7 linked regions of the Ovis aries genome follow. The protein of the gene in region 1 interacts with the protein of each later gene in a pairwise test. Links are inferred from orthologs where the notes say so. Each region holds a gene or a part of one and is shown in the gene's direction. Other genes may lie near its edges.

Region 1 (4,224 bases):
ACAGGAGCATACTTTGGGTGTGAGTCACATGCAGCGCCCAGCGCCTGAACACTGAGCAGGTGTTTGTCATCCTCGGAGGGGTCCATTGACTTGTTTTAACAGAGACCAGCTACAGAGCAGATAAACAGTAAAACTATATTTTGAATACTGAATGGACTTTGACTCGCTTCGCTATGTGGTAAACACAGGGACAGCAGAAAATTAAGAGGCTTATTTACATGTGTTGGTAGAGGCAGATTGGGGAACTGAGTCTGTCTTTTCTTCCGATCAGCTTATGTGCGAATGTATGTTTGTGTACATGTGTATATGCGATAAAACAAGGATAAAACATCTTCATCTTTTCCTTCTTTCCCTTCTCCCTGTGTCTCCCTGTTCCCACAGGTCAGCGTGGAAGTTTTGGTAGAGTATCCTTTTTTTGTGTTTGGACAGGGCTGGTCATCCTGTTGCCCAGAGAGGACCAGCCAGCTCTTTGATTTGCCATGCTCCAAACTCTCCGTTGGGGACGTCTGTATCTCGCTCACCCTCAAGAACCTGAAGAACGGCTCTGTTAAAAAGGGCCAGCCCGTGGATCCAGCCAGTGTCCTGCTGAAGCACTCAAAGACCGACGGCCTCGCTGGCAGTAGACACAGGTATGCCGAGCAGGAAAACGGGATCAGTCAGGGAAGCGCCCAGATGCTCTCTGAGAATGGCGAACTGAAGTTTCCCGAAAAAATAGGATTGCCGGCCGCGCCCTTGCTCACCAAAATAGAACCCAGCAAGCCCGCGGCCACGAGGAAGAGGAGGTGGTCAGCGCCCGAGACCCGCAAACTGGAGAAGTCGGAAGACGAGCCACCTTTGACTCTTCCCAAGCCTTCTCTCATTTCTCAGGAGGTTAAGATTTGCATCGAAGGCCGCTCTAACGTAGGCAAGTAGAAGCTGTGTGGGGAAGGGAAAGCTGGCCCTCCTTTATCATTTGTATCCAGATTACAGATGTACTGTAGGTTAAATAACTCAGTATTTCCATGTTATCCTCTTACTTTAGGGTTCTGTTATAACCTTGTCATTAGAGTTACAGCTGGCGTTGGGCAGGCGACCGGTGCATATGCTTTTTCCGGGCGTGTTTCTCGGCAGGTGGGGTGCCAGGGTAGGTCCAGCCCAGGCTCCAGGCAGGTGGTGGGCATCCTGGTTGAGATGAAGGTGGCCCCATGGCACCCGCCTTTTCTGGCATCGTGGATGCATCCACGGGGGCACTGACTTCCACTGGCTTCAGAGGGATGATCTCGGGAAGGGAGCTGCGTCAGGGGGGTGTGCCTGTGTGCCAGGGAGGGTGCCTGGGTGACACTTCTGTAAGGGTGTCTTTCTCTCTGCCTCCCTCTCTCTTGCTCTCAGCACCAGATTGGAGGTCTGGGGGAATGTCCTCAGGAGGTTCCCCCCGTGCAGAGTCAGCACTGGGGCCTCCGAAAGAGGTACCAGACAGCAGATGGAAAGCTAACCGTGTAAAAGAACATTTCCCCCCCCCCCCAACTTATTTTACAATAAAAGCAACTTTTAATCATAGAGATAAATATATATATATATATATATATTTCCCCCTATGGGGCCTGACTGCACTGATATTTTTTTAAAGAGCAACTGCCACCCATGGGATTTCGTTTCTGCTTTACTAGTGCAGTAGTGATGCCTCCAGGGCGTCATGGTGGGCAGGCGGCCCCTGCTGGCATCGCTCTGCACTGGTTGGGGGGGGGGGCGCTGGGCAGCGGGGGTGGGGGAAAGTGAACACCCCCTCCGGTCTCTGTGCAGTGTTAGGAAAACCAATCAGGTTAATTGCATTGACTTCGCTCCCAAGAGATAAGACACAAACTGCCCTTCAAAAGAGCTGCAGAAGCTCTTTGCTTTGGGTTTGCAAATCTTTTGTCTTTTAACTCTAGTACTGTTTATAGTTCATGACAATGGACAACTCGGGTGCCACTTTTTTCAGATTCCAGTGTGATGTGAGGAAATAAGATTTTGAAGATAAGCATATATATTACTATCTCTTAAGTACTTAAAATGCCGTTCACACTTTATTACCAAGCATCTTGGTCTCTCATTCAACAAGTACTGTATCTCACTTTAAACTCTTTGGGAAGAAAAACAGAAAAGAAAAAAAAAAAACTAAGTTGCTTTCTTTTTTTTTTTTAACACTGTAACTACATTTCAGCTCTGCAGAGTTTCTCACGGAGCAAGATGCTGAAAGTTTCAAAGTGGTTTCAAGGGATGAATGTGAATTATGAACTTGTATGTGACAATGAATGACCACCAAGTACAGCCTGACAGGAGGCACTCTTCACTTTGATGTCTCAGAAAGGAGTAAAAAGCGTATGCAGAGCTGGCAGAGGAACTGAGAGGGAAGGGATGGGAAAAAAAAAAAAAAAAGAATACTCACTTTTGTCCAGTGTTTTTCTTTTTAAGATGAACTTTTAAAGAACCTTGCGATTTGCACATCTTGAGTTTATAAATTTGTGTGATATTCCTGCAGTTTTTCTCAAATAACATTGTGGGAAAGGCTTGGGGGACTGAACGAGCATAAATAAATGTAGCAAAATTACTTTCTAACCTGCCTAAACTCTAGGCCTTTTATAAGGTTATGTTCCTTTCAAGATTCATTTTTGGTCTTCTTACCGTATCTGTCACATAAAACCAGGTCTTAGCAGGACAACTCTGAGAATTTTCTTCAGATTCATTGAGAGAGTTTTCCATGAAGACATTTATATATGTGAGCAAGTTTGTTTTTTTTTTTAAGAAAACAATTATTGTTGTTGTTATTAATGTTATTTTCAAAATGACTTTCTTTTTCCATCTGAAATCAAGATCTAATGTTTGGTACAAACCCAGAAAGGGTCTTTCACAGTGGAGACCTTTTATCCCCAGAGATCTGAAAAATTGTTTGTGGGGTTTGAGTGTGCGTTTTAAGTGCTTAAAAGTTTTATAAGGAGAGAGAAATTTTTAAATATTCTTACTTGGAATGGCTGCAGAGAATCTGAACAAATACCTGATTTTTCTTTTACCATTGAAAATAGTACTTTTTCCATTTCACAGATTTAAAAAAAAATTCTTGTCAGCCCACATTCTGGCTTTCCAGTATTCCTTCACATTTAGCTCTCAGCAGAACTGACGATTTTTAGAAACCATTTCTGGGGTGTACCAAAACCATTGGAGTAGGTTTTGAACTGCTAGAGCCAGTCCTTGACTTTCCTCGGTGTTCATTACCCTCTCAGCATGCTAGCAGAGAGCTGGGTGAGTCCATTTTTGCAGTCATATTGCTTACTTAGTGCTGTATTTTTTTAAATGTCTCTGTTCAGAGAACTTGCTTAATCTTCCATATATTCTGCTCAGGGCACTTGCAATTATTAGGTTTTGTTTTTCTTTTTTTGTTTTGACGGTAAGAGGAATACGGGGCTGCCATACAGACTTTGTCCTCATCAGTACCACTAAGGACAGTGATTCACGCGGACTCAGAGAAACACCCACCACCTTTTGGCTTCTTTTGAGTATTGAACTAACCGGATCCACACCTCCAACACTAAAACAGGAAAACATGCGTGGTTTGGAGCAATAGGAACATCATCGTTGTTTTTCGTGCTTTTGTTTCAGGTATAGGAATTATCAAAGAATCGGTTCTTTCTAAACATTGTCCTGTTTCACCTTCTTGCTTCTTTAGTGTGTGCAATACTTTCCGTGCCAATAGAGTCTGATCAGTGTGCTCTAGACAAAGTGTAGGTAGGCCCCTCTTGGCTTTTTCCTTATTCTCTCCATCCTTTTTCTGTGCCGCCCAAAGAAGGGCTGGAAGGAAGGAGCCAGGAAGGGGAGAGCCTCCTGCTGGGCGATTGCCCTGCTCGGGGAAGCCGAGGCCCCAGGGCAGGGAGCTTCTGGGGGAGCCCCGCGTTTCTGTCGCCCTGTTGCAGAAAAGAGCAAACAAAGCAGATCTTCCCCTCCTCAGCGCGAGGAATAGTGGCGTGCAGACGGGAAGCAGGCAGACTCACTTCTAAGGCGCACTCTTGAGCCATCGAGCCAGGATCAGCCCCTGTTCCACGGTCCTTTCCTCGAGTAGGTGGGCCCCCACCCACTCAGGTCTGTGTCCTGGAGACTTGGAGCCGTGCATCCTCCAAGCGTGGGCAGGAAGTGTGGTCCACCGCGTGCGCGCCTTCCGAGCCTCGGGCGCAGGCGGCTGCGGAGGGCCCGGGCCTCCTGCGAACAATGGCCACC
Region 2 (4,224 bases), on another chromosome or scaffold:
CACAGTAGTAGATATAATGGTCATCTGAGTTAAATTCACCCATTCTAGTCCATTTAAGTTTGCTGATCCCTAAAATGTTGATGTTCACTCTTGGCATCTCCTGTTTGACAACTTCCAATTTGCCTTGATTCACGGACCTAACATTCCAGGTTCCTATGCATTATTGCTCTTTACAGCATCGGACTTTACTTCCATCACTGGTCACATCCACAGCTGGGTGTTGTTTTTGCTGTGACTCCGTCTCTTCATTCTTTCTGGAGTTATTTCTCTACTGATCTCCAGTAGCATTTTGGGCTCCTGCCCACCTGGAGAGTTCATCTTTCAGTGTCCTATCTTTTGCCTTTTCATATTGTTCATGGGGTTCTCAAGGCAAGAATACTGAAGTGGTTTGCTATTCCCTTCTCCAGTGGACCATGTTTTGTCAGAACTCTCCACCATGACCCATCCATCTTGGGTGGCCCTATACGGTGTGTCTTTTGTTTTATTGAGTTAGACAAGGCTGTGGGTGCAGCATACCTGGGTATGGCATAAACCCTCTTGGAGGAGCTCACCATTAACCCCACCATGGAGCCGCCAGAACTTACACAGGACTGGGGAAACAATCTTGAGGGCACAAACAGAAACTTGCGCACACCAGGACCCAGGAGAAAGGAACAGTAACCCCACAAGAGACTGACCCAGACTTGCCCCTGAGTGTCCAGAAGTCTCTGGCGAAGCTGTGGGTTGGCGGTGGCATGCTGCAGGGTTGGGGGCACTGGGTGTAGCAATGCGTTCATCAGACCTTTTGAAGGAGGTCGCCATTATCTTCATTGCCTCCACCATAGTTTGGCCCCAAGTGAATAACAGAGAGGGAACACAGCCCCACCCATCAACAGAAAATTGGATTGGAGATTTACTGAGCATGGCCCCACCCATCAGAACAGACCCAGTTTCTCCCTCAGTCAGTCTCTCCCATCAGGAAGCTTCCATAAGCCTCTTATCCTTCTCCATCAGAGGGCAGACAGACTGAAAACCACAATCACAGAAAACTAACCAGTCTGATCAAATGGACCACAACCTTGTCTAACTCAATTACTAAGGTAGCAACCCATTAAAAAAAATCCTTTGTATTTAGGTGCTCCTAATACTGCAGAATTAAGGATTTGTCGTGTAAATAAGAACTGTGGAAGTGTCAAAGGAGGAGATGAAATATTTCTACTCTGTGACAAAGTTCAGAAAGGTATTTTTTGGGTTTTGTTTGTTTGTTTCATTGAATTCAGAATATATTTTAAAGTGATTGGTACATTTTACTTTGTGTTTGAATTATTTGTTTTTGTAATCACTAGACGACATAGAAGTTCGGTTTGTGTTGAATGAGTGGGAAGCAAAAGGTGTCTTTTCACAAGCTGACGTACACCGTCAAGTAGCCATTGTTTTCAAGACTCCGCCATACTGCAAAGCTATAACAGAACCCGTAACAGTGAAGATGCAGCTGCGGCGACCTTCCGATCAGGAAGTTAGTGAATCTATGGACTTTAGATACCTGCCAGATGAAAAGGGTATGACCTTTTGTGTTAATGGTTTATGTGTTTCTTAGTCCTGCTAAGAACATTGTTTTGTAAGATATATTAGAATATAGTCATGTTATGTATTCACAATTTTCTTTTCCTTAAAGTTTTTTATTGATTTTTGATTCATCTTTGTGCTCTTTGAATCTCTTTCTTAGGAAAGGTATCTGGGATAATTTCAACATATCTAACCTGTTTATCAGAAGTTGTTTTATATTTGAGATTCTGTTTTGGTCCTTATTGTACCTTCTTGATAGATGGCAAACTTGCCACTCAGAAAGTGGTCTCCATCTTGGTCCTAATCTGCCCTTAGCCCATTAATTGACCATTGGTTAACCTGTAGATGTTATAATAAAACAAGATGAATATTATAAACTATTTTTTACTAAGAGAAAAATGCCCTTTATTACTGATTTGGGACATACTTTGTGACACATAGAAATCCATGTTATGTACATTTATTTAAAGCATTTTCTATGTAGGAATAAAACATCTATATATGTGTTAAAGGAGAGGAAGCATACTCATTGATATTCACACATTTTCCCGATTTCTTTCTAACCAGACACGTATGGAAATAAAGCAAAGAAACAAAAAACAACTCTGCTTTTCCAGAAACTGTGGCAGGATTGTGGTAAGAATATTTTGGTTTGATTGGTATTTAAGTAAATTTGGTTTGGGGTTTTTCTTTTTTTTCTTTATTCAGTTTTTCAAATTTTAACTGGTATACTGTTGTTTTTCAAATTATATTTAATAATGGAAAAAATTTATCACAGGAGTTAATTTTCCTGAAAGACCTAGACCTAGTCCCCTAGGACCTACTGGAGAAGGAAGATTCATCAAAAAAGGTATTTTATGCCCGATACCGTATTCCTTGTGATCAGAGAGACCAGTGTTTTGCACAATATACTAGAATTCTATTCTTAGTAATGAAAACTGAGTCTTTGATTTATTCCATTCCTACATATTTTTTTCATGCTATGAATATTTAATGAATTGATCTCAGCTTCTGAAAGTCCTGTTAGCAACTGTGATTATGTTTGGGGATTTATTGTTTGAGAAATTACATTTCATTCCTATGATGGTAATTGTACTAATTACAGCGTGTCATGAAAGAAGTGGTTTAGACCTGGTCAATTACCTATATTTATTTATAAAGTTTTACTAGAACACAGCTCATTTGATTGCATGTTGTTTATGGTTCTTTTCTTGTACTATTATAGCTGCAGAGTTAAGAAGTTCCAATAGAGGCTGCATGATGCATGAAACCTAAAATATTTACTATCTGGCTTTTTATGGAAAAAAAGTTGCCAATTTCTGCTTTAGATCATTATCCAGGGTTAATTAGAAGTCTTTTTTTTTCTTTTTATGTTCTTAAATCAATGCTTTTTCTTGGTTTAATATGTACAGCAGTCATATAATATGTAATTAAATATACTACTGCATTTTTTTCTGAAAATTTTATAGAACATTAGTGTGAGTTATATCATAATATGGCTTAGAAATTTATGTAGATTTCTCAATCATCCTTAATGTTTCCTCCATCCCTCCATTTTCTCCTGGAAGAAGAGAATATGAAATGATTTTGAATATTTAGAGGCCCATTAAGTGAAATTCTGACATTTATCTTTCACATTTCAAAAATACCTTTATAAGGCCTCAGAAGCTAGATTTCCACATTTAACTGAAATGAAATTTTCTATGCCAAAATAACTTACCAAATTATTTTATAGGCATTTGTAAAACAGTATTATGGAATTCAGTTTTGGACTTATCTAATAATTATCTCCTATTTAACATTTTTATTTGAAGTGTTACATTGATTTCCTTGAAAATTTTTTTATGAGTGTTTACATAATTTTAATTTAGAATTTTGTTCATTTCAGTTTTTTAAAACTACATTTCCTTCCCCACAGAACCAAACTTGTTTTCTCATGGTGCAGTTTTGCCAGAAACTACCAGGCCTGTTTCAAGTCAAGCAGAATCCTACTATTCCTCCTCTGCGTCCATCTCAAGTACATTGTCACATCCTGCTTCAGCCATACTACCAATGGGTACTCAGTCTTCTTCAGGCTGGTCATCAATCGCCCACCCCACCTCACGCTCAGTCAATACAAATTCACTGAGTGGTTTTTCAACAGGGACACTTTCCTCTAATTCACAAGTTATCCCACCATTCCTGGAAATGAGTGATCTGAATGCTTCTAATGCTTGCATTTATAACAATGCTAATGACATAGGTAGAATGGAAGCATCATCTGTATCACCAGCTGACTTATATGGTATTTCTGATGCCAGCATGCTGCCTAACTGCCCTGTGAACATGATAACACCCAGTAATGACAGCATGAGGGAGACCGATAATCCCAGACTTGTGAGCATGAATCTTGAAAATCCTTCCTGTAATTCAGTGTTAGACCCAAGAGACTTGAGACAGCTCCATCAGATGTCTTCTTCCAGTATGTCAACAGTCACCAGCTCTAGTACTACTGCTTTTATTGCACAGTCAGAGGCATTTGAGGGATCTGACTTTAATTGTGCAGATAACAGTATGATAAATGAGGCAGGACCATCAAATGGTACTAATGCAAACAGTCATAGTTTTGGTCAAAATAGTCAGTATTCAGGTATTGGAGCTATGCAAAATGAACAATTGAGTGATTCATTTCCATTTGAA
Region 3 (3,944 bases), on another chromosome or scaffold:
GTTGGGCTGCCTGCTCCCACCTGGTCGATGGCCCCAGGCGTGCGCCAGAGCAGCCCTAACCTCACAGGCGGGAGCAGGTGCAGAGGCTGGGTGAACGCGAGCGGCCCAGGAGGCCCTCCAGCTGGGACCCTATCAGTAGTCCTACTGAGGACCGAGGAGGAGGTTCGTCCCGTCTGGAGCAGGGGCGGGAGCGAGCTACTTCCACAGGGCGGCGTGAAGGGCGCAACTGCGCAAACACCCGCGCTCTAGCTCGCTCTGGCCCCGCCTTGTGGTGCGGGCTGGACGCTGGAGGCTGGAGTGCACGGTCCAGTCCGTTATCTCCGCTCTCGTCGGGGGCTGCCCGCTGGCCCTGGCCTTAGAGGGCGAGGCCCGGCGCCCAGAAGGGCCCTCCTGAAGCCCCAGGCCCCCGTCAGGGCCAGGTGGTAGGAGGTATCGAGTCAATTAAATTGTGGGGCCCCACCTCCCACCTCCGATCGCTGCCCTCACCCCCGCCCGCGCACCCGCACCCGCACCCATCTCCTCTCGTTCCTTCTCCACCTGCCTGCGCGCCTGCCTCGGCTCCGCGCATTCGCACCGGCCACGCGCCCCGCTTAGCCCCTCCCGCCTTCTCGGCCTCACAAACTGGCCTCGGCGCCCCCTGCCCAGGGGCCTCCGCCTTCGGCCCTACGCGCCGCCCAGGAAGGACCCTGGACTGGGGTTACTTCCAGAGGGGGAGCGCTTTCGAACTAAGGAAAATATAACTCGAATGTAGCCACTGCTGCCTCGTTTTTTGTTCAGAGTGGGTGCGACGTTGAAGATTTTCGGAGCCATGGGGGGCAGGCCTTCGGAAACAGCGGTGGGAAACCACTGAACAACGTGGAGTGGGAGGCCGGAGAGAGGCGGGCTCGGACTCGGTGGGGACGGGGCCGGGAGACCGCGGGACTCGGTGCGGACGAGGAGCCGGGAGACCGCGGGACTCGGCGGGGACGGGGCCGGGAGGCCGCGGGACTCGGCGGGGACGGGGCCGGGAGGCCGCGGGACTCGGCGGGGACGGGGCCGGGAGGCCGCGGGACTCGGCGGGGACGGGGCCGGGAGGCCGCGGGACTCGGCGGGGACGGGGCCGGGAGACCGTGGGACTCGGTGCGGACGAGGGGACGGGAGGCCGCGGGACTCGGCGGGGACGGGGCCGGGAGACCGTGGGACTCGGTGCGGACGAGGGGACGGGAGGCCGCGGGACTCGGCGGGGACGGGGCCGGGAGGCCGCGGGACAGCATGGGGAGTACCCGGGCGGGAGGCCCTCAGATACACTGCGGGGACCCGGGCGGAAGCCGAGGGCAGCGCGCATGGTCTGCGGAGGGAGTCAGGGCCAGCGCGCGCCCCCTGCGCCTCGTGGGCCGCCCAGTCCCCCAGAGGGGCCCGTCAGCCGCCCCTGACCCGCGCGCAGGGACTTCTCCGTGGGCTGAAAGGAACCCACACCCACTCCCCACTCCTTGTTCCCCTTTAAGGGGAGCTGGCGCGGTCACCGCGCTGCAAGAAGCTGGGCCGCGATTGGTTCGTCTGTGCCGCCGGTCGGCCGCACGGTTGGCTGAGGCGCTGGGCCCGGGCAGCATGCCCCCGCGGGATTGGCCAGCGGCCTCCAGGCCCCGCCCCTCCGCGGTCCGCGCAGCCAGGGGTCGCGTGGGGCAGGGCCGCGGGCCGTAGGGCGAGCGCGCTCCGGGAACATGGCGGCGGCGGGCCTCGCCCAGATCCCCGACGTGGACATCGACTCCGACGGCGTCTTCAAGTATGTGCTGATTCGAGTCTATGCGGCGCCACCCTCCGGGGACCCGGCCGGGGAGACCAAAGAGATCGTGCGCGGCTACAAGTGGGCCGAGTACCACGGTGAGGGCGGGGCGGCGGGCCGGGGGCGGGGCCTCGGGCGCTGTGGGCGGGGCCAGCGCGGCTGGAGCGGGTCGAGGGCGGGGCGGGGGTAGGTAGACTCTGTGCCGGGTCTCCTCGCCGCCCGGCTTGCGAGGCAGGGAGGCATCCAGACTGTCCTGGAGACGAGGGGCTGCCGTGGCCCGACCCCCACTCCTAGTCCAGGGCTTCTGCCCAGGCGCACCCTCTCCTCCCTTTTCTCCGGTCCAGAAGGTCTCCTCTCCTGGGGGCGGGGGCTGCGGGGGGAGGGCCTCAGACCCCCTCCGCCCTGGCTGGTGCTGAGCTCCCCTCCCATTCCAGCCGACATCTACGACAAGGTATCGGGCGAGATACAGAAGAAGGGCTACGACTGCGAGTGCCTGGGGGGCGGGCGCATTTCCCACCAGAGCCAGGACAGGAAGATCCACGTGTACGGCTACTCCATGGTGAGCCCGCAGCTGGGGACCCCAGTCCTGGCTGAGGAACACCCGGCCCTTCTCGCCGACATAACCCTGCCTCCAGGGACCGCAGCATCCCAGTTTCCACGCGGCATGACCCAGGAAACATAGGGGGAGGGAGGGAGCCACTGCTTGCCCGCAGTGGGCTGTGTGCTGTTCCTGCCCCGAAGGCCTGGCCAGGCCCCTGTCCTCCAGCGCTTGGAGGCTGCCAGCGCTGTGTTGGAGCTTGGATGCCTGCCTCTCCCTTCACCGCTCTACCTGCAGGGTCACAGGGCACCCAGAGCCAGCTCGACCTCTAGCTGGAGGGCCCTCCCTCCAGGTCGGCTCACTCTGGAGGCTACACTTCCCAGGAGAGTGGCTTGAGTGGCTAGGGGGATGACAGCCTCCCCGCCTGGCTCTTGGTGTCCCTGCTGCCTGGGGGCCCCCGGAGCCAGGACCTGGTGTGTGAGAGCCACCTCCTTCCCTCAGGGTTACGGTCGCGCCCAGCACTCTGTCTCCACTGAGAAGATTAAAGCCAAGTATCCGGACTACGAAGTCACGTGGGCTGACGACGGCTACTGAGGCCCACTCGAGGCCCGCTCTGTCCAGCAGCCCACTCAGAACTCTGCCCTGAAGGCCCCTCCCAAGGGGCCGGACTGCACCCCCTTTGCCACCCTGGCCAGGTCTCGGGGCCTGGGGCTCCCTCTTGGGAGAATTAAAAGCATCGTCAGCTCTGCTGCTCCCTGAGCGCTGTGTGCTTGGCGTCTCTGTTCTCAGCGCACCTCGCTGTACTTCCAGCTGGTGTAGGTGGGTGGCCAAGAGCTGGAGGCTGCCCCTCATGCAACCTGCCCCAGGGGCCCAGGGAGGGGCAGGGCACACTCAGCCCTTTGGGGTCTGATAAGGGGGCCCTGGCCGCTGCCCCCGTTTATGACCTGATTGCTTCTCCATGCACCTGCTGTCCCCACAGTCATCTGGGAAGAGGCCTGACAAGCCGTTACGCAAGGAGCTAGGGCCAAGTCCCTCCAGCCTGCGGAGGCGGGCCCCTCCCGGTAGGGGGAGGGCACCAGCAACCCCTACCTTGGCCGCTGCTGACTGAGGTCTCGAGTCGGGTGGTCTGTGGCCCCTCGACTCCAGAATCAGGGCCACTGCCTCAGACTCCTGCTTCAAGTAAACCGGGTGTCAGGCGTGGAGCCCCTCTCCCAGGACCCTTCTCCTGGCGCTGTGGGGAGCAGAGGCCTCCATCACGCTGCACCCGCCTCCTCTGGACTCCAGGGCCCTCACAGGAGCCTTTCCACAGAGGCGCCATCGTTACACTTTTAAAGATGAGGAAACAGGCTCAGGTTAGACAAGCTCTCAAGGCCGGACGGTGATAAACTTGGCAGCGCCTGGTACCAGGTCCTCCGCTGAGGTCAGTGCCATGAGGCCCAGAGCCCCTCGGCTCCTCTGGACCCTGTGCCTGGCCGTGCCCAGCCCACACCACACGGTTCGGACACTTGTTGACAAGAAAACAGTCATCGTTTTTAAGCGAGCAAGTGAAGAGGAGCCCACAGGCTGAGTTACGGAGAGGGACGACATCCCTGGTTGCCAGGGTTGCCCCCTCCCCGTGCAGGGAACTCAAGCCAGGTGCACGGT
Region 4 (4,675 bases), on another chromosome or scaffold:
GATGCAAGAGTCCAGGCTCACTGAAATCGTTCCTTTAATATGCATCCACCTATCTGGGGCCAATATTCTGTGTTTTCACATCCTGAATTTCCTCCGGGCTCACAATGGGGCATGGCTATAGTCTTAGGCTGCTAAATGGCAGGTATTCTTTCCTTCCTAAATTCCCTCAAGCTCATCAGCTCACCATCTGTGGTGGCTAATCGCTAATGGGTGACTTCCTTTGTTTAGTGATATGTCAGGAAATACTCCATTTCTCAAGGGGAAAGAAACAATGTACCCAGAATACCGACAGAGGAGCACGATCGAGGGAATTCTAATCAAAAAAGGTAGATCCAAGGAGAAAGTAGTTCTTGGGCATGAGTTCCGGGCTAAGAAGTCCAACCTCACCCACTCACCTTGCCGGCTGGAACCTGGCACATCCAACTAAAGGAATTGACAAGTTTCCTCATAGGCAGATGTTATCATACCCCTCACGCAATAAAGGAAACTGAGGCTCAGGAACTTAAAATAAAAACCCTCTAGATTGCCCAAAGTTACGCAAGGAGTGAGGATCAGAGCTCCTTCCACACGTAGTGTTGCAGAAACCAGTAATCGAGAAACCAAACACCATACTCGGAGAGTTGGAGAACTCAGGTTTGTTAAGCCAGCAGGCCCAGAGGAGTTAACACTCCAAGCTCTGAGCCCCGAACAAAGGAGTTACAGAGTTTTTATAGACAGACTATAGTGGACAGCACTAGCTGCCAACAGGCTGATTTAAACTAAGGCGTTTCACAGGCACAGGAACAGGGGTCAAAACGGGGAGATGAATGGCTGACCTTTACTTGGACGCGCGTGATTAAGCAGGATTGCAGGGGCTGGGCAATCACAAAGAGCAGGACAAGGGTGCGTGAGATAAGCTCCAGTTCCTAGTATTCTAAGTCCTCACTTTCTGAGGCTACATGACCTAGAGTTACAGAGGCAGAACCAGCAGGAGTTTATGTAAAATTTTATCTTTCCCTCTTCACTAACACATTTGTTGCTGCTGCTGCTAAGTCGCTTCAGTCGTGTAAAAGTACTTGTCTCTCTCTACTAGAACGTAAAGTTTCAAGGACAATGGTCTTTATTTTGCTCTCTGATAGCTCCTAAAAGTGTCTGGCACATATTCAAATTGTTTAATGAATGACACACTGTATGGACACCTTAGGATGCAGTCAAGAACAAAGCTCTTTCCTTGATGCCAATTATCCCATTGAAGTGCCAGCTGCGACCTTTGCACCGCTCTATGGCTCCATCTGGTGGCAGTGTCTCTCTCCTCCCAGGGCGGTCGCAAGTTTACTCGGAACTACTTAGCTTGATTCTCACTGAGTGCGCATCGGACCAAAATCAAAGAGCACAAACACAGAGCCGGAAATTGTAGCTCTGAGAAGCATCATCAGTAGCCAGTAAGCAGAAGCACCTAGTTCACGTGGTGCAGGTTCAGCCTATGGTGCTCCTAATGTTCTCCAACTCGCTCCCTTCCGCTCCTCGCTCCTTCTCTCTCGACAAGATGGCCACACCGGCAGTACCGGCGAGCGCGCCTCCCGCCACCCCGTCCGAAGCCCCAGCTGCGGCCTCATCTCCGGCCTCGGCCTCGGCCCCGGCCCCAGCCCCAGCCTCAGCCTCGGCCCCGGCTCCATCGCCGGCTCCGGCTCCAGCTCCATCGCCGGCTCCCGCGTCATCCTCAGACCCGGCAGCAGCAGCGGCTACGACCGCGGCTCCGGGCCAGACCCCGGCCTCAGCGCCAGCCCCAGCGCAGACCCCCGCACAGTCTCTCTCTGGCCCTGCTCTCCCAGGCCCCTTCCCCGGCGGCCGCGTGGTCCGGCTGCACCCGGTCATTTTGGCCTCCATCGTGGACAGCTACGAGCGACGCAACGAGGGAGCTGCCCGAGTTATCGGGACCCTGCTGGGTGAGTGGTCAGGGGAAACTGACGTTCTCCTCTACTGCCCACCTTGTTTTATCTTGTCCCCCTTTCTTCTCACTCCCTTGTAGTTATTTGTTGAAAAAGTATCGTGTGCCAAGTGACTCACATTTTATTTTTAATCTTTGCAGTAGCATTTCACTTCAACGGTTATTAGTCCCAATCGACGGAAAATGTGTTCACAACCTTACTGGGACGTCAAAAACCTTTTGACTCCTTAAACCCAGTGACCAAGTTTTCCCCCCTTACCTACTACTGGTCTTTATTTTCCGAGTGTTAACCGAGAAGTTTTTTCTAACTAGTTGGCAATGGAGTGGGGACATCTGTAGAAAGATATCCCTCGCAGCAAGTAAACCAGTTTGGCAGGAACCCATTTGAATTTCAATATTCTGCTTTCTTAAACGTCTAAGCCTGATCCGCCTTTCCTCGCTCTCTGTAATACTAGTCACCAGTGAAATATAGACCCCCGTTCCCCCACTGTAGACTGTGATTCTTCGTTTGGACACAATTAATACAATACAAATCTATTCTTTGTATTAACGATTACATGGAGAAATAACTTTTTTCCCTGACATGTTCCAAATTTGAGAAATGGGTACTTTATGTTAGAGTAAAACCGAGAAGCCCTAAAAAGGGATTTCTGACGATGTATTCTTTTATCTGGGGACGTCGGGTCCCATCAGATTAATTTTTCACTCCATCTTGATCACAGATACGGGGCACTTTTGTGATTCCAGTTTAGTCCCATTTATGATTTCTCTTTCTTAACCCTTGAACTTGTAATAGTTTCCATTGTAGAAGACAGTTGGTGTATTGAGAAGAGGACGGTAGTTGTAGCCAGACTTCTGCAAAAGTTAGGGAAGTCTCTTTCCTTCAGGGACTTGCTGAAGACATCTAACTGTGCTGACACAGACTAGGTATGAAGCAGCTGTCGGTTGCTGTCGTCCACCGCATCATGCACACTCCTGACACACACATTCTCTCTCTTATCTTTGAGAGAGTAGCATTTCACGGAAACTTCAGTTGATCCGTTATCTTACGAACATTGCCATAGCTATCTCAAACCAAGCCTTTGTATTCTCTTTGCTTGTTCTCCCTTATTTTTTCCTTTAAGCTCCACTCATTTTCCAGGTTCCCAGGAAAAGTTTTCACTCTGTCCTTCATCCCATACCCCCACCCTCACCTCTACTCATAATCTCCCAAAGTGTGAAAGTGTTAGTCACTCAGTCCTGTCGGACTCTTTGCGACCCCATGGACTCTATGGTAAGAAACAATTCTCAATTCTCCACCCTAGGTTTGTATTCAGTTCAGTTCAGTCGTGTCCGACTCTTTGCGACCCCATGAATCGCAGCACGCCAGGCCTCCCTGTCCATCACCAAATCCCGGAGTTTACTCAGTCTCATGCCCATCAAGTCGGTGATGCCATCCAGCCATCTCTTCCTCGTTCGTCCCCTTCTCCTCCTGCCCCCAATCCCTCCCAGCATCAGGGTCTTTTCCAGTGAGTCAACTCTTCGCATGAGGTGGCCAAAGTACTGGAGTTCAGCTTTAGCATCAGTCCTTCCAGTGAACACCCAGGACTGATCTCCTTCAGAATGGACTGGTTGGATCTCCTTGCAGTCCAAGGGACTCTCAAGAGTCTTCTCCAACACCACAATTCAAAAGCATCAATTCTTTGGCGCTCAGCCTTCTTCACAGTCCAACTCTCACATCCATACATAACCACTGGAAAAACCATAGCCTTGACTAGATGGAACTTAGTCGGCAAAGTAATGTCTCTCCTTTTGAACATACTATCTAGGTTGGTCATAACTTTTCTTCCAAGGAGTAAGCATCTTTCAATTTCATGGCTGCAATCACCATCTACAGTGATTTTGGAGCCCCCAAAAATAAAGTCTGACACTGTTTCCACTGTTTTCCCATCTATTTCCCATGAAGTGATGGGACTGGATGCCATGATCTTCGTTTTCTGAATGTTGAGCTTTAAGCCAACTTTTTCACTCTGCTCCTTCACTTTCATCAAGAGGCTTTTTAGTTCCTCTTCACTTTCTGCCATGAGGGTGGTGTCACCTGCATATCTGAGGTTATTGATAGTTCTCCCGGCAGTCGTGATTCCAGCTTGTGCTTCTTCCAGCCCAGCATTTCTCATGATGTACTCTGCATAGAAGTTAAATAAGCAGGGTGACAATATACAGCCTTGACGTACTCCTTTTCCTATTTGGAAAAGGCTGCTGTTCCATGTCCAGTTCGAACTGTTGCTTCCTGACCTGCATGTAGGTTTCTCAAGAGGCAGGTCAGGTGGTCTGGTATTCCCATCTCTTTCAGAATTTTCCACAATTTATTGTGATCCAGACACTCAAAGGTTTTGGCATAGTCAGTAAAGCAGAAATAGGTTTGTATTAGGTGCCCCCAAATATTACAGTGACCGGAGTTAGACCAGCTGTCATCTAGGGTTTCAGCTCCTCTTCCAGAATGGAACCGTGGTACAATGCTAGATGTTACAGAGGCAGTGCTTACTGAAGAGTGACGCACAGATTCCACTTGCTGAGAACCTTAGAAATTTTAAGTTAGAAAGCGATTCATGAGACATATTCCATTTGGTTAAATTAAATCACTAGTACCTTTTATGTGCCATAAAACTATTAGATACTTAGAATTCAAAAGCTGATAAAACGAATGCTACTCTTAACCTTAGATTCAAGATGAAGATGTACTCTTACATGCAAGTCACTGGAGTATAA
Region 5 (4,224 bases), on another chromosome or scaffold:
AAGCAAAAGACTGTGTCTTTACCAAGAGAGTTCCACATCTCCGTTATTCCCTGGGCCCTAGCCTTCGGTCATCTGCCTCATGTTAATTGTGCAAAACCCTGAGGATATACTGAGTACAAAGCACAGGAAGCTTAAAATTAAGTACGGGAGGTATACATGTATAAGAAGTTAAATAATAAAAGTTCAGTTGTGAAGACTGTAGAGACTGAGATACGAACTAACCATTGTGCGTGTCTTTCGGAGTACCATGCTTTACAAGGTAATTGAAGCCACTGTTAATGGATGGATTACACCTTTTGCTTTGGTGCCATGGTGGCCTAGCATGAGACCAGCACTCTTTCTTGTTCGGATTCAGAGGACACTCCAGGAACATGTCTGAATAGACCCTGAGACTGCTGGTCTTCACATTTCTCCTGATCTGACTGTCTTTGAAAATATTTTCCCTTATTTTTCTCTTTTATAGTGCTAATTGTAGTCACTTGATTGTTAACTTCTAACTTTTTAAAATTTTGTTTTGGCAGTGTTTTCATCTTAGGAGGGCTGGAACCTATCACCTCTCTTCCTGCTGTCCTGAACCTTTCTTTCCTTAAAGCTTTTTCCAGCCTTAAAAAGAGAAGTTATTTATTTAGAGTTGGTACCTAATTTATAGGGCTTCGGGGCTGAATTCTCTGAACTCTCCTTAACTAAAAACCTCAAGATATGTTGTCACAGAACTGATGCAGAGTGACCTGCATAAAATTATCGTCTCTCCTCAACCACTCAGCTCAGATCATGTCAAAGTTTTTCTTTATCAGATTTTGCGAGGTAAGACTTTCTCTGTGAAGAAAAAGGTAGTGTCACTGTATAAATGAAATGTTTTGCTTTTCATTTGAACTAATCTGACCTTCCAAGGCTAACTTCTTACCCACAACTGTTTTTCTTCTGACCAAAGTATATTTAATACTCTCTATACTTGATGTTAAATAAGAAGCTTTTAAGGGTAGCCGAATGGTTCTTATTTTCAGTGATGGAAGAGAAGGTCCTATCTAATTCATTAGGTAGTCAAGGGGGTTAATCTCGGGGGGTACATAAGCAGGATGTTTTGCCACAAAGCTTCCACTGAATAGCCTTTAGTAGGAGTATGTGGCTGGCATCAGATGATTAACTGAAAAGGAACTGTGTTTCCTATGGATGACATACATTCTTTAAGCCGGCAGTAGGTGGGCCTAGTCTGAGAGTTGGCAGGCATGCCTGAGTTCCACTCTAGAAAAGCAAAATGAGTTTTAAAGTCAAAGCATGGAGAAGACTGACAGAAACAGCCAGCTCACTCACCCTCATTAAGGAGCTCTGATGTGATGGAGAAACAGTTTGGGCTGACATTGTTGGGGCTTCCTCCGGCCATCTGGTGTCCTTCAGAATTTTGGCGTTACACCTGTTTAAAGCTGAAACAGTTTTCTTACCTAGTAAAATGTTTTCTCCCATAGGATTCAAAGAATTAAGACATTCCTTATAAAAATTGAAAAGCATCTGCCAAAGGAACTAAAACACATACACAGTGTCAAAACTAGAAAGTTCACCTTCTGTAGATTTGTTGATATTTGGGAGTGGGGGAGGTGGCAGAGGGAAGATACTGGATAGAGGATCTTTAACATTGTAGAAAATGTGATTTGCTTTCTTTTATTCAGAAGACTCAGCCTTTTATTCAGAAGCTGTGCCTTTTATCTAGCACTGCTAAAGCCCACAGACTTTATAAAGATATCAAAAATATTTTTAAAGTAATTAATTACCTTCCTGATTCTCAGTGGTAGAGAATACTACCAACAGACCTGGGCAAGTTTCTGAATTTTGTCTCATCAGTGAAAATCTGTCCTGGAAAAGGCTTGCTGTTGGTTAATGGGAACTATTTTGTGGCAGCAGCTCACAATAAGCTTGAGAGTATCCAGAATATCCAGAGCTCCAGGAGCCACACTTAGAAACTGTTCAAGGTTATTGGTCTGGTCAGCCTTAACTCCAGGGCTTGGAATGCTTATCTATACTTAAACCTAAATAATCTTTCAAATTATAGACATTATCTCTAGACTGTGCAAACCTTTGATGACATTTTATTTTACTGTAGCGAAATTACAGTTTTTTGAGGTAGGACTAAGTCAAGCTTTTAATAATGTTCATTATGCAGTTATTTAGAGAACAATTTAAAATCCTTTACTCTTGTTTCTATGGTTTTCCCCAAAATCATTGGTTGAGTAAAGGAATTAAATATCTGCAGTTAAATCTGTTTGTTATTTCAGGTTTGAAATATCTCCATTCAGCTGGCATTTTACATCGAGACATTAAGCCAGGGAATCTCCTTGTGAACAGCAACTGTGTTCTAAAGGTAGCTTTTCATTTTATTTAAACATCTAGGAAACAAGTGGAATGTCAGAGTGTGTTTAAGAACACATTTTTGTGAAAGAAATGGTTAAATGTATTCTCATCACTTTACCAGAAATAAAAGAACCCAGTGTTCTCCACCAATATCACTAGTCATGGACAAAACAGTAACTTAATTTGTAGTTTTGGCTCATGGTTTCTTCATGATATTTTGCACATATTTTGGAAACATTGGAATCGGAATTGCAGTGTGACTAGAAAGAAGACTAGAGAAGGTGATTTCTTTTCAGCTTGTTCCATTACAGAGAAAGTATATATCAGAAAAAAGATTGGAAGACCAGTAAGCATCTACTTACATGACAATCAAGTGTGGCTTTTAAGAAGACTGTATGTTTTTGCACAGCTGATGTTTTTATGTGCTGTTTGCCTGAGGCAGCAAAGTAGGGAAATAGAAGCATTTAAAAGTGAAAATACTAAGCCAGAAAAGGGTCAAAGGTACTTCCACAGTATGTAGTGGCCAATCCTCAGTTACCCCTCTGAAGGGGTATTGATTTCAGGGTTTATTATGGTTAGCAGCCCCCATATCTCAAGACATCAATTTCAGTTTTACTCTCGCCGCAGTACCACCCCCATAGTCTTTTCTTAGAGTGCCTCACAAATAGCAAAATCCACATGTGTGCATTGCCCTCTCCCTAACAGAAATCTTTTAACAGACCTCCTAAATAGTGAAGGGCCCACCATCTTTCCCCATTATAGAAATTAGAGGTAAGGGCCTTCCTAGAGCTGAGTCATCTCTGTGAAGGCAAATTAAAATTCCACTTATTTTATGAGCGGCTGCAGTATTATATGGTGCTTCAGTCTACAGTAAATATTCTTAACATTTCAATTGATATATTTGAAAAAGAAAAGAACTGTTTATAAACGTTGCCTACTATAAATGTAATCAACTGTCATTAGTACTTATCCTGTTGGCAGTTAAACTAAACCTTAAAACCAAGTATATAAATGAATTTCATTTTTTATTTTAAATGCTTTCTTTAAACTGTGGGCCAGTTTTCTTTAAAACTAGTGTGTTAAACTGCTTTTGAATAAAAAAGAAAAAACTCCCTTCACTCTATATGTAAAGAACTCTGATCCTGTTTTAAGTCTAGAAAGATTAAAAACACCTATTTTTCATATTTTCCTTGAAAACATCTAATATTATACTTAATTCTTTTTGTTTCCACAGATAATTAATTGTCCCAAAAACCATTAAGTAAAAACTACCAAAGTAAATTTTCCTTTTATAGGTCATTGAGTTCACTGCTTTTCACTGTGAGACTTCCCTGGTGGTCCAGTGGCTAAGACTGAACTTTCAGTGCAGGGGGCCCAGGTTCAATCTGTAGTCAGGAAACTAGATTCCATTTGCCACAGCTAAGACCGACTACAGCCCAATAAATTAATTAAAAAATAAATAAATAAAAAGAGTTGTGATCAGGCTTCCCGGGTGGCTCAGTGGTAAAGAATCCACCTGCCAATGCAGAAGACACGGGTTTGATCCCTGCTCTGGGAAGATCCCACGTGCGATGGAGCAACTCAGACCGTATGCCACAACTGTTGAGCCTATACTCTAGAGCCCCGGAGCCACAACTTCTGAGCCCATGTGCCGCAACTGCTAAACCCCACACACCCTAGAGCCCGTGCTCTGCAACAAGAGAAACCAACGTAATGAAACCCATGCACCACAGCTAGAGAGTAGCCCCTGGTCACCTCAACTAGAGAAAAGCCCACACAGCAACGAAGTCCCCGCACAGCCAAAAATAAATAAATAGAGTAGTGGCAAGCTATTAAAACACAGTGTGATAAACATCTTCAGAGCTTATCTCCATAACCCAT
Region 6 (4,224 bases), on another chromosome or scaffold:
TTCCCATCTATTTCCCATGAAGTGATGGGACCGAACACCATGATCTTAGTTTTCTGAATGTTGAGCTTTAAGCCAACTTTTTCACTCTACTCTTTCACTTTCATTAAGGGCCTCTTTAGTTCTTCTTTGCTTTCTGCCATGAGGGTGATGTCATCTGCATATCTGAAGTTATTGATATTTCTCCCAGCAATCTTGATTCCAGCTTGTGCTTCATCCAGTCCAGCGTTTCTCACGATGTACTCTGCATAGAAGTTAAATAAGCCGGGTGACAATATACAGCCTTGATGTACTGCTTTTCCTGTTTGGAACCAGTCTTTTCTTCCTTGTCCAGTTCTAACTGTTGCTTCCTGACCTGTATACAGATTTCTCAAGAGGCAGGTCAGGTGGTTTGGTATTCCCATCTCTCTCAGAATTTTCCACAGTTGCTTGTGATCCACACAAAGGCTTTGGCAGAGTCAATAAAGCAGAAATAGATGTTTTTCTGGTACTGTCTTGCTTTTTCAATGATCCAGCACATGTTGGCAATTTGATCTCTGGTTCCTCTGCCTTTTCTAAAACCAGCTTGAACATCTGGAAGTTCACGGTTCACATATTAATGATGCTAAACTCTTTTAGCTTTTGCTTGTTTATGAAACTCTGTCTCCTTCAAATCTGAGTAATATCTTTGCTGGGTAGAGTGTTTGTTTTTGTTTTTTTTCAGGTGGGTTGTAGTATTCTTGTTTGTAGGTTTTTCTCCTTTCATCACTTTGAAAATATTATGCCATATTCTTCTGGTCTGCAGAGTTTCTGCCAAAATATCAGCTAATGGTCTTATAGGAGTTTCCTTGTGTGTAACTGGTTTCTTTTCTCATGATACTTTTATGTCTTTCCTGGATTTATTATTATGTAAGACATCCTGATTCTTTTGTATGTTTATCTCTTATAGAAAAGGCTACAAATGAGTACAATACTACAGAAGATTGGAGTCTTATTATGGACATATGTGACAAAGTTGGAAGCACTCCTAATGGGTAAGATGGCCAGTCATGCCCAGTGAATGTCTAGGAGCTCTCTCTCTCTTTTCCTGATATAATTCTGGAAGGAAACAGGATTTTTGCTGTTTCCTTTTGGGAGTAAAAGTAAAGACATGCTACTGGCTGAATTTCTGTGGTTAATCTTATTCTGAAAGAACCATAACTGAAAACTTGAAATATTAAAATGTATAATTAAAGCCTTGATACAGGGAATTCCCTAGTGGTCCAGTGCTTAGGACACTGTGCTTTCACTGCTGGGGGTCCAGGTTCAATCCCTGGTTGGGGAACTAAGATCCCAGAAGCCTCAAGGTACAGCTCAAAAAAAAAAAAAAAAAAAAATATATATATATATATAATGCCTTGATTCAATAGGGACAGATGTTAACAATGAATAGACTTAATTATTTAGGGTGTTCCCCTGTGACTTAGACATGTTATTAATGAGGTAGATAAATATAACAATATATAATATATTCAAAAGATCTTTCAGTAATGAATAGATAAATGCAATAAATCATGATGAAAAAGTGAATATAATAGTGCTTTGAGGATGGAATGGGGACATTAAACTGATTATACAGTAGAGGTTTAGAAGACTGATGAAAGCATTTGTTTTAATGTTACAGCTTTCTGAAGTTTATTCATGCATGGTTATACTTAAATCATTTGAGATTATGTATCTTGCTAGTTTTTTTCCCCACAAGATAAGAATTTGCTGTCTGAAAGCTGTCAGTCTTAAATGTAAAGATAATTTTTATGATATTGTTCTCTTGTGTTGACTGACCTTTTTGATTTTTGGTTTTTGGGATACACAGCCTTTGCAACAAGCATTTTTTTCCCCTCTACAAGTCTATGAGCAAAAGGTGTAAGATCATTTGATAGATTTATTCCTTTAATGAAGTAAAGTTTGCAGGTGTACATATAAGGTATTGTATGACCAAACAGCTTTTAAAGTTAGTTGATCATAGAATACCTTATGTATTTAATGCTTGAATTGAAATTCTGAATACCTAACTTTCTTCATTTTTTTAGAGCAAAAGACTGCCTAAAAGCCATAATGAAAAGGGTAAATCATAAAGTTCCTCATGTTGCTCTGCAGGCATTAACTGTAAGTGAAAGTCATGTTATTATTTGGCCCAAATTTTAAAATGTGTTTGTTTTAGTAAGTTAAGTAAGATTACATCTCAACATTTGTATATTGATTTTTATTTTAATTAATAGCTTCTTGGGGCTTGTGTGGCAAACTGTGGAAAGATATTTCATTTAGAAGTTTGTTCCCGTGATTTTGCAACAGAAGTACGTGCTGTGATAAAAAATAAGGTAAATTTTAAAAAGGAAAGAAATTTGAGTCATTAAAAAATACATATGCTGTGTTATTTTAGCTGTGTTATAGCATTAGTAGAGTTGTAAGTGAAATCATTTTAGATAAACTTGAAACAAAACAAACTTTCTGTTCTAAAATTTGTTGTTTGCATTTGTAGCCCCAAAAACTGTTTTCCTCCCTAAAGCATATATATAAGTGATAACACTGATCTTTATTGAGGGTTAGCAGCCACTGCTTTAAGCATTTTATGTATGCTGACTTGTTTAATGCTCTTAACAACTCCTAGAAGGTAGATTTCCAGGTCATTCCTATTTTATAGATGGAGAAACTGAGACTTAAGAGTAACTTGTCTAAGATTATGCAGCTAATAAGTGGCATAGCTGAAGTTCAGATGTAAGTGTCTGTGATACCAGCATCCAAACTAACCATCATTCTGTCCTGATTCCCAGTAGAGATGGTGAGCAAAGGAGGCCTTTATTTTAGAACAAGGTGGAGAGGGTCTTTGTGATGGGGTTGTTATTGATTTATTTGTAATAGAAACTCTGGTATACTGTGTTCATACTGTTAGTGACAAAAATCTCAGAGTTTTACTTTAGTTGATATAAAAAGTTTAATCTAATATTGAGAATATTAGGAAAACATGAAATAATCTCTGAATATGACAGATTCATTGTCATTGTATAAGATATAAACATTAATGTTCAAAACGGGTAATTTTCCAAGAGACAAGTATATATTAAAGTAGGTATTTATCGAGTGCTCATCTAAACTAAGGTTTGCTGGACTCTTGTGGATATTCATAAAACTAGAGAATTTTGGTGGTAATTCTCTTTGTTAAATAATTCAAGTGCTTATTTTAACCATTTTTTTTCTTTGCCTTTTCATTAAAAGGCTCATCCTAAAGTATGTGAAAAACTGAAATCTTTAATGGTAGAATGGTCAGAAGAATTTCAGAAGGACCCTCAGTTTAGTCTGATATCTGCAACTATTAAATCTATGAAAGAAGAAGGAGTTACTTTTCCTCCATTAGGTTCTCAGGTAAGAGATTCATTCAGATTCATGGATGACCCTATACTATAGTATTTTGAAGGTATATACCTTATTTCAAAGCTGGCAAGGTCTATCTTAGTCATTACTCACCTCCACTCTACATGAGTTTGTCTAGAGCAGTGCCTGTAATTGTTGAGTGAATTCTACACATGAGAACTTTGAGAAGTGAGTCATCCATAAATAATCTGTTTAATGCGACTCTGAATCTAGAGTCATGCAAAAGGCATAGATGTGTGAGAGAGCCCTTATGTTCGAGGTATTTATAGTCAATTGAAAGGGTAGCTTTATATATGTGAAAAATAACTGATTATAAGTGACAAAGATGGATGGGGGGTGCAAAAGTTAGATGCCAGGAAGAAGAGGTAACTGTAGACTGGGATGATGAAGAAGATGAAGAGTAGAATTTTTAGGCTGGAATGCAATTCAGTATGTAAGAGGAGTAGAGAGGTTGTCAACGGAGGAATGACATGAATCACTTCATGGACTTGAGAAAGCTCGAGGCCTGTCCGTTGAAGAGGGAACATGCCTGAAATGTGCTTTTGTTTATGTATAAAATGGTTGGCCTTTTACAGGTTGGCCTGTAAGGCTAGAAGTTTATTTGAGGACATAGGGACAGCTTTTGCAGGACCGGGGTGGAGGCAGGGATAATGATCCCAGAGTCCGTGGTGTATTTTGGTCTGTGGGGAAAAACACTGTATCTTGGGTTCTGCTCTCAGTGTCTCTTGTTTTTTCAGGATATGGGCTAGGGAAAGAAACTAAGAGAACTGTACATTTTTTCAATTTTAGACCATAGACTGAAGACACAAACAGAACCTTTTTAGTTGATCAGATCTGTGG
Region 7 (4,224 bases), on another chromosome or scaffold:
TTGAAGAGACTGTTCTTTCCCCCATTGTATCTTGGCTTATTTGTTGTAGATTAATTGGCTATATATATATATATGAATTTATTTCTATATTGTCAATTTTTTTTTAACTAAAAATATTTATTTAGCTGTGTTGGGTCTTAGTTGTGGCATGCAGGATCTTTGATCTTTGTTGCAGTATGTGGGATCTTTAGTTGTGGCAAGTTCCCTGACCAGGGATTGACTCTTGGCCCCTTATAATGGGAACGTGGAGTCTTAGCCGCTGGACCATCAGTGAAGTCCCTTTATGTGCCTCTGTTTATGCCAGTACTGTACTGTGTTAATTATTGTAGCTTTGTAGTATAGTTTGAAATCAGGAAGCATGATGCCTTCAACTTAGTGGTTCTTTCACAGAATTGCTTTGGCTGTTCAGGGTCTTTATTGGTTTCATATACATTTTAAGATTGTTCTATTTTTGTGAAAAATACCAATGAGATTTTGATAGGGGTTGTTTTGAATTTGTAGATGACTTTGGGGAGTGTAGACATTTTAACAGTGTCTTGTTAATTAATGTCAATTGTCTTATTATTTGATGTCAATTAATTATTCCAACCCATGGTCATGGACTACTTATTTGTGGTTTCAGTTTTTTTTGTCAGTGTCTTACAGGTGTCAGTGTACAGGTCTTTCATCTCTTTGGTTATATTTATTCATAGGTATTTTTTTTGATACTATTGTAAATCTGATTATTTTCTTAATTTCTAATAGTTTGTTATTAGTATGTGGAAATCAACTTATGTTTGTATATTGATTTTGTATTCTATAACTGAATTTGCTTATTCTAACAGTTTTTCTCATGGAGTCTTACAGAATTTTCTATATGTAATATTAATACACAAACAGATGGTGTTGCTTCTGTCTGTATGATTTGAGTGGTTTTTATTTTTCTTGCCTAATTGCTTTGGTCAGAATGTCCAGTACTGTGTTGAATAAAAATGGTGAGAGTGGGAATCCTTGTTTTGTTCCTGATCTTAGAAGAAAGCTTTTAGCTCTTTACCATTGAGTATGATGTTAGCTTGGGGCTTGTCATGTATGGCTCTTATTATGTGGTGGTATTTTCTATCTGTATACAGTTTATTGAGGTTTTTATCATGAATGGATATTGAATTTTGTCCACTACTTTTTCTCCATTTATTGAGAGGAGTATGATTTTTATTTTGTTAATGTGTGTCACATGAATTGATTTGGGAAGGCTGAGCCATCCTTGCCTCCCTGGAATACTTTGCAGCTGATCATTGTGCAGGATCTTTTAAATTAAGTGTTGAGTTCAGTTTGCTGTTATTTTGTTGAAGGCTTGTACATCTATGTTTATTAAAAATAAATATTATTTTATTTTATTGTTGTGTCCTTGTCTGGTTTTAGTATTAGAGCAATACTGGCTTGTTTTGGAGGCATTTAGAGTTCTTTGAAAGGATTTTCCACTCAGAAGACCCTCCACTGGCCATTCTCCCAAAAGACTATATGTTCATCTGGGAGCCTGGATCCAGAGCCCTGCCTCTGGCCCAGACCTGGACTTGTATTTAAGGGGCATGTCTGGGGAGGTCCCACTCCAGGAGCTGGGGCGGGGGCTGGTGGAGTGTGGATCTCACCTCACCTGGGAGCTGTGTTCTGCATGCCTGACTTCCTGTTTCCTGTGCTTGCCCAGGAACAGCCCGGGCCCTGGCCATGGGGCACTGTCGCCTTTGTCATGGGAAGTTCTCCTCCCGGAGTCTCCGCAGCATCTCTGGCAGGGCACCTGGGGAGAGCTCAGAAAGGCCACCCCCTGGGGACCGTGTTTTCATCCGGGATTTCCAGCGCCTCCTGGGCGTGGCTGTCCACCAGGACCCAGCTCTGTCCCAGTTTGTCTGCAAGAACTGCCATGCCCAGTTCTACCAGTGCCACGGCCTCCTCACATCTTTCCTGCAGCGAGTCAATGTTCCCCCGACAGGCCGCCGGAAGCCTTGTGCAAAGTAGGTGCCCCTTCCCTCCTTTGCTGGGGGTGTGCAGGAGACCCCGTGAACAGGGCTGCATGGGCACAGGGCAGCCCGGGCGCTGGTGAGGCAGACACTCATGAGCACCAGTGCGCTGGGTGTGTGGGGAGACTGACTGGAGAGCACAGGGCGGGGAGGGCCTGGTGGGTGGCCTCGGAGGAAAAGGCTCAGCCGGCACACACAGTGGCCACTGGGCCCCATGCTTGCTCTTGGTGAGCAGCCCTGCTCCTTTGCAGGGTCGGTGTCCAGCCACGGATGGGGCCGGAGGAGGGAGCGTGTGTGGGTGAGTGCGCCCCCAGGGTGGGGTGCAGGGTGGGCGGGAAGCGGGGGGACTCAGATGCTGACTGGCCATGGGCTGGCGTCTCTCTGCCTCTCCTCAGTGGACCTGATTGCTTCGAGCCCCCAGGGCCTGCGTGGCTTGGTGGGGTGGGTGCACAGACACGCGGCCAGCTGTGGGGCCCTACCTAGCCTCCAGAGGACGCTGTCCTCCGAGTACTGTGGTGTCATCCGGGCCATGTGGGGCTGCGACCAGGGCCATGACTACACCATGGACGCCGACTCCAGCTGTGGGGCCCTCTTGCTGGACAGCGCTTTGGGTGTCAAGTGGACGTGGGACAAGGATTCAGGCCCGCGACTCCCCCAGCATCGGGGGTTCAACCCCACCGGGGCTGCCCCTCAGAGCTCCCAAGGCAGAGCAGCTGCGGCGGGGGCTGAAACCGAGACACTCCCCAGCCTCGAAACAAGCCGGCTTCCTTCAGATGGTGACCCAGTGGGGCCGGGGCCGGGCCCCCCGTCTCAGCCAAGCCTCCCCCAAGGTGGGGCCCCAGGTAGGTGGCTCCTCTGGGCTACTTGACCAGTATTCCTGGTCCTGAGCCAGGCAGGGCCCTTGGCAGGAAGTGGCTGTTGTGGTGGTAGCAGTGGTATGCGCAGAGGGGCCAGCATAGTGGCCAGGGCAGTCCTGGCACCGCCTCATGTGCGTCTGACAGCAGAGAGGGGCTGAAGACCCCGTTTGAGTGCCTTCCTTTAAGGCATGCTCGCCTGCCATCCAGGCTTCCTCCAAGCCTGCTTGGGGCCAGGGCACGGAGGGAGGAAGAGCCCGGGCCTTTGTGGGGCACGAAGGCAGCTGGGGTCAGGGGTTGTCCCGAGCCAATACAGGTCACTCCCTGGGCCTGTCAGTGCCCTGTGGGGCCTGATCCTGTGGCCCTGTGTGTTGGGTGCAGCTGTTCACCAACGTGGTATTAGGAGGGCTGGGCCGGCTCCCTACCCACGTCTCTCAGCTTCCATGTGGGTGCCAGGCTGCTCCTGCGAGTGATGTTTGCCACTGGATGGTTCAGAGTGAGGCAGTGCTCATGCTGGAGGGCTTCACTGTTCTTAGAACTGCTTGGAGTTTTGAGCCATGTGCCTGCAGTACTTGGATACCAATGATCTTTTTTGATGTTCTGAAACATCCGAGAGCAACTGGATCTGAACCTCTGAGGCAGGGCTGAATTTGCTGCTGTTGCTACTGCTGGCAGGACTTGGGGGTGGCGTGGTGGGCTTGGCTATGCAGGCCTTGTTGAGGGGGCCAGGAGGTGAGTGGATTTGGAGGCATGGGAACCCTAGGCGCCCTGTCATGCCTGTGGGGAGCACTACCGTGCAGTTCCCCTGGGGTGACAGGTGACTGGAGTCTTGTTCTTTGTTTCCCAGGGCAATTGGGTGAGAAGCAGGTTCCATCTCCAACCTCGGATGATCGGGTAAAAGACGAGTTCAGTGACCTTTCTGAGGGGTGAGAGAAGAGTGGGTTTACATAGCCTAACATTCCTCCTTGGCCACCATCCCAGGGGCTGCGGCCTGGCTCTCACTGGCCTCCCACTTTCTCTGTTGGGAGGAGGGGAGTGGTAGGGGGTGCTTAACAGGCTTCTGTTTTTGATTGGGGCACTTCAGACCTGATAGAGCTGCACGGGGGCCCAGCCACGTGTGGCCATCACTCTGTTCAGATGGTCCTCTGGCTGCTGGCTCATCTCGGCCTCCAAGGCTGAGTTTTATGCCAACCCCAGATTTTACTAGAACAGAAGCCAGCCTCTGGCTGTTTATCATGGTGTTTGTGTTGTGGAGTGGAGGACAGACCTTCTAGAGGCAGGCAGGACACCTGTCTGCTCCTGGGGACACCCCCTTCCCGGTCTCCAAGACCAAATCTCTCAGGGTGGAGGCTGCACACCAGCTGACCTTTCCACCCTGC

What was found.
Region 2: the proteins of ATXN1 (region 1) and REL interact in binary tests that used the Homo sapiens proteins (3 or more experiments, as listed by UniProt). The two-hybrid records come from large-scale screens. The link is inferred for Ovis aries from reciprocal best matches to the Homo sapiens genes ATXN1 and REL.
Region 3: the proteins of ATXN1 (region 1) and PHPT1 interact in binary tests that used the Homo sapiens proteins (3 or more experiments, as listed by UniProt). The link is inferred for Ovis aries from reciprocal best matches to the Homo sapiens genes ATXN1 and PHPT1.
Region 4: the proteins of ATXN1 (region 1) and EIF3F interact in binary tests that used the Homo sapiens proteins (3 or more experiments, as listed by UniProt). The link is inferred for Ovis aries from reciprocal best matches to the Homo sapiens genes ATXN1 and EIF3F.
Region 5: the proteins of ATXN1 (region 1) and NLK interact in binary tests that used the Homo sapiens proteins (3 or more experiments, as listed by UniProt). The link is inferred for Ovis aries from reciprocal best matches to the Homo sapiens genes ATXN1 and NLK.
Region 6: the proteins of ATXN1 (region 1) and STAM2 interact in binary tests that used the Homo sapiens proteins (3 or more experiments, as listed by UniProt). The link is inferred for Ovis aries from reciprocal best matches to the Homo sapiens genes ATXN1 and STAM2.
Region 7: the proteins of ATXN1 (region 1) and ZNF276 interact in binary tests that used the Homo sapiens proteins (3 or more experiments, as listed by UniProt). The link is inferred for Ovis aries from reciprocal best matches to the Homo sapiens genes ATXN1 and ZNF276.

Annotation. Positions count from the first base shown.
Region 1 is NC_056073.1:40,013,729-40,017,952, forward strand, and holds part of ATXN1 (ataxin-1), read left to right. Parts: intron 1-381; coding exon 382-904; coding exon of another isoform or gene 905-912; exon of another isoform or gene 913-2,179; coding exon 2,180-2,274; 3' UTR 2,275-4,224. UniProt on the Homo sapiens protein: Chromatin-binding factor that repress Notch signaling in the absence of Notch intracellular domain by acting as a CBF1 corepressor. Binds to the HEY promoter and might assist, along with NCOR2, RBPJ-mediated repression. Binds RNA in vitro.
Region 2 is NC_056056.1:63,093,786-63,098,009, reverse strand, and holds part of REL (proto-oncogene c-Rel), read left to right. Parts: intron 1-1,114; coding exon 1,115-1,219; intron 1,220-1,325; coding exon 1,326-1,538; intron 1,539-2,112; coding exon 2,113-2,181; intron 2,182-2,323; coding exon 2,324-2,395; intron 2,396-3,463; coding exon 3,464-4,224. UniProt on the Homo sapiens protein: Proto-oncogene that may play a role in differentiation and lymphopoiesis.
Region 3 is NC_056056.1:1,021,463-1,025,406, reverse strand, and holds PHPT1 (14 kDa phosphohistidine phosphatase), read left to right. Parts: upstream 1-1,647; 5' UTR 1,648-1,700; coding exon 1,701-1,860; intron 1,861-2,196; coding exon 2,197-2,321; intron 2,322-2,801; coding exon 2,802-2,894; 3' UTR 2,895-3,059; downstream 3,060-3,944. UniProt on the Homo sapiens protein: Exhibits phosphohistidine phosphatase activity.
Region 4 is NC_056068.1:44,245,469-44,250,143, reverse strand, and holds the start of EIF3F (eukaryotic translation initiation factor 3 subunit F), read left to right. Parts: upstream 1-1,508; 5' UTR 1,509-1,525; coding exon 1,526-1,925; intron 1,926-4,675. UniProt on the Homo sapiens protein: Component of the eukaryotic translation initiation factor 3 (eIF-3) complex, which is required for several steps in the initiation of protein synthesis.
Region 5 is NC_056064.1:19,693,930-19,698,153, forward strand, and holds part of NLK (serine/threonine-protein kinase NLK), read left to right. Parts: intron 1-697; coding exon 698-804; intron 805-2,267; coding exon 2,268-2,353; intron 2,354-4,224. UniProt on the Homo sapiens protein: Serine/threonine-protein kinase that regulates a number of transcription factors with key roles in cell fate determination. Positive effector of the non-canonical Wnt signaling pathway, acting downstream of WNT5A, MAP3K7/TAK1 and HIPK2.
Region 6 is NC_056055.1:157,444,844-157,449,067, forward strand, and holds part of STAM2 (signal transducing adapter molecule 2), read left to right. Parts: intron 1-925; coding exon 926-1,010; intron 1,011-2,045; coding exon 2,046-2,121; intron 2,122-2,234; coding exon 2,235-2,333; intron 2,334-3,228; coding exon 3,229-3,375; intron 3,376-4,224.
Region 7 is NC_056067.1:14,142,413-14,146,636, forward strand, and holds part of ZNF276 (zinc finger protein 276), read left to right. Parts: intron 1-1,681; coding exon 1,682-1,985; intron 1,986-2,242; coding exon 2,243-2,289; intron 2,290-2,386; coding exon 2,387-2,833; intron 2,834-3,692; coding exon 3,693-3,771; intron 3,772-4,224. UniProt on the Homo sapiens protein: May be involved in transcriptional regulation.